2 linked regions of the Arabidopsis thaliana genome follow. The protein of the gene in region 2 interacts with the protein of the main gene of each other region in a pairwise test. Each region holds a gene or a part of one and is shown on either strand. Other genes may lie near its edges.

Region 1 (4,067 bases), on a different chromosome or scaffold from region 2:
TACTTGAAGAGAGATTATTCGGACAGAGCTGTTTGTGTTTAAGAGATAGCGAAACAAGAACCCTAAGAAAAGATGCGGCAGTGAGAGAGAGAGGTGCGACTTAAAAACCTAATCTATAAACCCTTCCTGAGTTATTATTCTCTGCGGCGGGTGCTATTTAACTGTGTTCTGGTCCTCTCTTTATCTATCCGTGGGCTACAAACTGGTTAAGCCCATTAACAATAATAAATATCAGCTCTCGTTGGTTAAAGCCCATTAATGAAAAGAATATTCGTTCTTAGTCCATTAAGAGAATAACTGGGTTTCAATACTGAATCCTCTAGGCGAGACACGGTTTTTCTCATTCTAAACCTTTATTGGGTTCAAAGTTTTATGTGCTTCAAAAATCAAAGATATAAATTGATTGCTTAAATGAATTTTCTCTAGCAGAGCCTTTGCTTGTCGACCTTAGACAGCTTCATCTTCTCAAGAGTATCAAACAGAAACATTTACAAGTGATTACACACTTAAGCTCACAACATTTACAACAAAAAAAAATCTAAAATAGATAGGTTATTATTTATTGTCGCGCTACTGTTGATGGATTTTGGTTTTAGTAATTGTTACCTCTTCGATCAAGTTTTGGCTACTTAGCAATATAGAACTCAAATTGAGTTAAGAGATTGTATTAGGGGATATGGTGTAATACTTTAATAAAGCCGTGAATGTCATGTAAGAAATGAAACTAGATTGAAAAATTAACACTCACGGCTTTATTAAAGTGTCTATTTTGTTTATGGATTGAAGATATATGGCTCTGTTTAGTAACTAATTTACATCACGGGAACACTTTTACTTGGTGCCTCAACATTTATAGCAAAACTATTCAACTACAAAACACACAAGATCAAACTTATGAAACCAATAACTCATCAACACGTGTCTCATCACCAACCTCACACTTCACCTGCACCACCTCCGACGTCAGATTCTCTGCTTTTCTCCTTCGTTTCAACTTCCCGTTTTCAGACGACGACGTAGAAGAGGACGACGACGACGACGACGAAGAAGATCTCTTAGACGTGATCCGAACCGGGTCAGGTTCACCGGAATTAACCCTCAACGGAAAATTCAATAAAGCGCGGGAACCACGCATCCTAAAAGCAGCTATATCGTAAGCTAAAGCCGCATCTTCCGCCGTCTCAAACGTCCCTAACCAAACCCTAGCTCCATTCTTCGCCGGATCACGTATCTCCGCCGCGAATTTCCCCCACGGTCTCTGCCTCACTCCTCTGTAATGCTTCGCCTTCACTGCCGTCTCCGTAACCGGTATCGCTTTCTTTGGTTTCTCCTCCATCGCCGTAAAGTTCTCAGTTGGCTCGACTTTAACCGCCGGAAAATCAAAAAGACAGCTCAAGTCCGATGATGACGTGTCAAAATGGAAGGCATCTTTGAGGAGTCCGTACACCAACATGTCCTCTGAATCATTCTCTTTCAATGGCAAACCTCCCCAACTCTCTGTGAAACACGAACTCGGTGTTGACTCATTGAGTCGCAGCTCGTTCTCTCCTCCTCCTCCTAGCAAGTGACGTGTTATCGACTCCAACAAAGCGTAGTCGGATTCTATATTGCACTGTCCGTACATTTTCAGAGAAACTAACTATAGAGTTTTTTTTGTTTTGTTGATTGATTTATCAAATATCTGAACTTTTTTCTATGTGGAAGGTGGTTAAGAGGTTTATATAGAGGGTACGAGGTTCACGAACCTGGAAAAAAAGAAAAAGTTTTTCATGTTTTTCCAAATTTGTTTTAGTTTAGTGGGTAATTAAAAAATATGAAAGTTGTGGATTTTTCGTTACTACGAAGGTTCGTGAATTAAACACGTGCGCTTTATCCACAGATATCACAATGAAGAAGGGTCAAGATGACGTCATGTGGTCATGACATTTCTGGAAGAAAGATGCTGATTTGGTTTTGTCTCTCAACTTGTCCCTTGTTTTGTCGTTCGGTTTTGAATACGATTCCCGGTTTTATTAGGCAAAACTAGTGTTTAATTAGTTTGTTAATCGAAAACCAAGGTCTTAATTCATTATACTTTGTTATATCGACATAAATTTTCAACTAAACTTATATTTCATCGCCTTACACTAGAGTAATAATTTTTGCTTAAGTATACTTTATTAGATAGTATTGGCAAGTATATTATATGTTTAATTACATGAAATCTAAGCTTAGATCTTGTTATGGTGGTGAATGAAAAATCTTAACGAGGTGGGCCATAATTATATGAATGGGGACACTGAAAGTGTCTGCAAAAATCGGGATACATTTCTCCTGGTCACCAACCAATTCATATCATCATCTTTCCCTTTCACCTTTCATTTTTACTAATTTCTAATTTAGAATTTTCCTAATTGCCAATGTCATGTTTATTTTAGTACTTTTTGATACAAGATTTCATGATTAAGAAATTCATTAGTGCCACTTTAGTCAATAAATATGGAGTAGTGAAATCATAGTGATAAAGTTTTCATGCAAAGCTCAATTTACAAACCACAGTTTAATCCATATTTGTTGCATTTCTTTTCTTTCTTTTTTGAAAATATAACAGCCTTAGATCTTTTTGTACACCAATGATTTGGAATTTTGTGGATAATTATTGAATTTCCATCTCTTTCTATTGGCTAAAAGTCAATAACAACAATAAGGCTCAAAGACAAATTAATGGTGGGTCTCTCACGTATGTCCACTTGCAAAAGGGACCTCCTTCACGGAAGCATAGTTTAGTCAATAGTCACTCAAACTCTCTAAAAATTAGTTTACTATATATTTTTAATCTATATTCGATTCCAAGAGTAGTTTTGGTTCAAACACATCATTCTGGTCAGATGGTTATTTCAATTTTGCTGTTTTTGAGTGTATATATGATGTTATGTTTGTAAACAAATGAAACTTTTAATTGATTACAAGAACATGAATAGCTCTAAATATGATTAAAAACGAATTTATTTATTTCTTTGGTAAAAGAATAATGATAATATACTTATGGATCCAATCAGGTTAAGTTCCGTTTTGCAATTAAATACTTTGATTAATTAAATATGAAAGTAGTAGTTGAACTTTCGTTTTTATGTTTGAACTCCGCAGCTAATCCTCAAATTATCTCTTTGGACGTTTCACATACATCCACTTTTGCTGTATCTTAGGAATATATTGTTTTCATATTGTTTCTTGTTTCTTTATGATTTGGGTTTATATAATTTTCAAATGTCATGATGATCATCATTTAATCTTAGTTGTTTTAGTCACATCTTATTATGCTTATTATTAGTCGGTGATAGTTTAATTTTAAGACGTAAATCATCTATTCTCATATTATGCTAGAACAAACTTTTTCTTTGTGCAACCTCCTAGAACATATAGTCGCCTATTATCCATGGATCCCAGATACTCCTCCAAGACCACCGAAAGGTTTAATTATGGATAGGAACCCTTTGGTCTACGTTAACACCTTGATTGACTTCCAGACGAAGAGGTGGAAAGTAGATCGTCTACGGGAGTTGTTCCCCCCCCCCCCCCCCCGAGGATATTACTTTGATTTTAGGGATAAAACCGAGGCTAAATGTCTCGCGAGATGGATATAGTTGGACATTGACTAAGTTCGGTAATTATACTGTCAAGACAAGATATGAAGCTGCGAGAGCCCTCTCTCGCCCGTCTTGCGACCACCCTCTTCAGGGACCTAGTGTTACGGCACTAAAGGCGCAAGCGTGGAAATTAAAAACTACACGAAAGCTAAAGCATTTTGTGTAGCAATGTGTGTCAGAGTGTTTAGCAACTTGTCAACGCCTATATTTTCGCCATATTGGTAGAGATAAAAAATGTCCTAGATGTGGGGCGGATGAAGAAACCATCAATCATTTAATATTTGAATGTCCCCCGGCAAGACAAGTCTGGGCGCTATCCGGTATTCCCTCCTCTCCATCTAGGTTTCTTTCGTCTTCTATATACAATAATCTCGATTATCTGTATTGGAGAGCGAATGAGATTGGAGCTTGTGAGGAGAGCTTACGGGTCTTTCCATGGAT
Region 2 (3,804 bases):
ACGGGGAAAATTAACAAAACGAATTAATTATGGACGCGTCCAACTATTGGATTTTCTTGGATTCTCATCCAAAAGAGCTTTCACTCTTTTAGGCCGTGAAATCTAACGGTCGAACGTCAGACAAACTTTGCGACTCACTCTCACCATCAAAGTCACATCACAGGGCAGTTGGATCGCTGTTCTTGTTCTGTATTTCGAAGAAGTTTCGTTTGCCACTTCTTTTTATGTCGGTAATATATTAACTAAAATTGGAATTTCGTATTGCTCTTCTTGTGCTAGATGAGATGTGAATCAAATGAAGCATGGGGATATTATTATTATTGTGAGAACGTCAAAAATACCTTTTGAAATTTCTTACCTTCTAATTTGTTAAAGACGGAATGTCATTGTCTGTAATTTTCTTTTTATAAGTATATAATAATTTAGTACATCGATCTTTCAAATGGTAATATTTCTAATTTATATATTCAATCCAAATGAAAATAAACAATCAAATCAAACAAACAAAGTTTACGTTTATATAACACTGTTAACTATATATGTGTTTGCTCTTTCGAGTCAAGCAACCATTATAACATATCCCTTTTTAAGAAATCATCAATGAGATATTAAAGAAAAACCTAAGAGCTTTTTTAGATATATCAAAAGGGTAAGATCCGAAAATGTAAGGATAATATCTGTGGTTTGAGCAGTAGTAGTATTTTCATCATTGCTGTAAGCGAAATTAGTAGTGGTCGACAAAGAAAAAGATTAAATAGTAAAGAGTGGATGGCCACTTGGGACGAGTCGGAGTCAAATATACGACGACAGTTGGAGAAACTTGACATCTACCTTGGCCCGTTCTTACTTCTTAACTCTTAAAAATACCTTAGTGGGTTTCTGCCGTCAGGGATAATTTTTATTATGAAATCCTTCATTTTAATCCGGTGACATAAATAAGATACTAGATCATTTGAAAGATAAATAATGTATCATAATAATAAAAATAGTGTTTTTGCGTTTTTGGCGATACTCATACTATGGATTAATTTGTTTTGTGGTAGGATATTATTTAATATGAGTAAAATACTTAACAATTTAATTATTTTAAGAAAAGAATTTAATGTCATTTTCTTGTAACATCTTATCAACTAGAGATTATACACTATAAACTTTTGTATCAAGCCGTTTTTAAAATTATGTGAGATTTTACTTTTTCTAAAAACAATTCAATGATATGATTTCTCTTGTTTTTACTTGATTGTCCTTATATAAACCAACCAAAAAAATACTATACTTTAATACTTGTTAAGTAATATTAAATATCCATCTTAGATATTTTACAACTCTTTTTAGGTAAAGATATTTTACAACCTTTTCTTTTCTTTGTTTTGCAAAAGGTTTTTAACAACGCTTTACATCCAATGCAGTTTGTAATCTATAAAAGAACATATAAACTTATACTCCGTAAAGTAATTAGTTATGAATTCGCTCAAAACATTATTCTCGTTTGTCTAAAATTAACATAAAACCCAATATACCGGTAAAAGTAAACATACATGCAAGGCTAAAAGACGTGGGCATAACGTGTGATTGGGAAACCATCGGAAACAAAAATAAGGAATTATAACGAATGGCCATACTAGGTTGACTAATAAGAGAATTATTATTTGACGTATATAAGATAATAAGACAATTATGGGATAAAATTAAGAGACATAAGTGTGGACACGTGAAGCTTAGAGTACGTGTCAATATTCAATAAGACATAAACAACAACAAAAAAAAGGGTTTATTCTCTACTCTTGTTTTGTTTATACAAGAGGATGCATCTACTGCCCCAAAACAATCCTGACCGTTCATGTCTCTATTCTTAGATCCAACGGTATGTATCAGCTATCTCATTGTCCCCTCTCATAGCTTTCTATATAAACCGAAAGAAAGAATAATAGAGTCAGAGCTAAGACTTAAGAGCGTCACAACAATATCACACTCAGATAAATATCAAGAGATAGAGAGAGTAACAGTGATATAGTCGAGAAAATGGCGTCGTGGATGAAAGCGGTGCTAATCTCTACTGGCGTCGTAGCCACGGCTATGCATCTAAAGGTTATTGTTCCTGTGGCTATGGATTTCTCACAAAATCCGATTATTTTGAGCTCTTTCCTCACGTGGCTGAAACCGCCGTATCTTTACGTCATCACTAACGTCATCATCATCGTTGTCGGAGTTTCCTACCGGATTACTACTGTCTCCAGCCACGTCGACGGCAAAGACTATGAGGCTTCTTACAGTGGCGACAATAAGTTTCAGACTGATCATCAGCAGATCGTCCAAGAAGCTCCTCTAAGGCGACGAACGGAGACGAAAGATGCGGATTTTGGTTTCATCGGCAAAGTTTTGCAGATCGTTAAGGAGCCGGAGGTTGTGTATGAAGAGAAGGAGAGGCCGGCGACGGTAGAGGAGGAGGAGAAGAAGTGTATAATTGTGGTGAGCAAATCGGAAAATCAACCTCCGGTGGAGAAGCCTCTTGTTACGGCTAGGATCGGCCAAAAGAAACCGGTGGTTAAGACTACACCAGCAGGTAATTTAATTTAGATATTTAATCACTAAGGTGACGTCATCCGAATTTAGATATTTTATAAAAATCTAAAAACACTATTTGTTAAAAGGTTAATTTCGTAATTTTTCAGAAAGGAATTCTATGAGAGCGTTGAGAGTTGCGAAACCGAAACGTAACGAGACGTTAGAGAATACGTGGAAGATGATTATGGAAGGCAACAAGTCAACGCTTCCGTTGACCAGTTATTACAAGAGACCCGACACGTTCGGACTTGGCGAAGAGACAAAACAATCAGGTGTTTTGAAGAAATCGGAGACGTTTAGTGACAGAACTAACTGTTACCAGTCTCTGCCGCCGCCACCTCCGCCGCTAGTGAAGGTGAAGAAGGTGAAAGTGTCACGGAGTAGGGATGAGCTTAACCGGAAAGTAGAAGCGTTTATAAAAAAATGCAACGACGAGAGGTTCGCGTCGATGAAACTGGACAACGAAGTGGCTCGTCATGGTCTTTCTTATTAAAATCATTTTCTTCATAATTTTTTTGGTTGTCTTTCAATACACGACAATAACAAGTTAACAAAAGTAGAAAGTCACGGATAAACAAAATCTCTGCTTTGTATTATTGATTGGATAAGGGTGGAATTGGTTGGTGCACCTAGTGATATTTCTTCTTCGTTAACAATGTAATTAAAAGTCATTGAATAGATATTTTCTCCTCTGCGTAAAGCCAAAGATATTAGTTAATGGGAACACTATAATTCAATCTACTTTATAATGCTCTTTCTTTCCTAAAATAGGAAAACAAATAAACAAAGGTACATTATCAATCACGATGGTAGTGGTAACATAACAACATTAACATTCACATTAACCAAAAAAAGAAGAAGATAAGATCTTCTCTGGTCTAAATTTGGAAAGAGTCTGCACTCTCAGAATCAATCTCTCTTGTTGAATCTCATCTTAGCTTCAGTTTCTCCACTGTAAGGAGCAACGTGAAAAGCGTACTGTTGAATGATGGAGAAGACGATCATCTCAAGACATACAAGCACATTTTGCAGAGCTTCTTCAAGCTGATCCACCTCCAACCAGAAATGATGCGACTTAATTAATCCCAATCCCACCAATATCTTCAGGACTATTCCCTGTGCAACACATAATTCCCAAGGTTTAAGAATGGAACAAGGCGAAAAATTAGACATGAATGCTTTAAACTTGACCCAATGTAGCAGTGATCCTAAAATCTATTGAGATGAGACTTTTTTGTG

Evidence for each region.
Region 1: the proteins of AT1G11210 (region 2) and ERF2 interact in a two-hybrid assay, tested with the Arabidopsis thaliana proteins (one large-scale study listed by BioGRID).

Annotation. Positions count from the first base shown.
Region 1 is NC_003076.8:19,171,131-19,175,197, forward strand, and holds ERF2 (ethylene responsive element binding factor 2), read right to left. Parts: upstream 1,827-4,067; 5' UTR 1,625-1,826; coding exon 893-1,624; 3' UTR 513-892; downstream 1-512.
Region 2 is NC_003070.9:3,755,130-3,758,933, reverse strand, and holds AT1G11210 (cotton fiber protein, putative (DUF761)), read left to right. Parts: upstream 1-1,935; 5' UTR 1,936-2,022; coding exon 2,023-2,563; intron 2,564-2,672; coding exon 2,673-3,058; 3' UTR 3,059-3,266; downstream 3,267-3,804. Other genes in the region: AT1G11200 (organic solute transporter ostalpha protein (DUF300)), read right to left, coding at 3,475-3,681.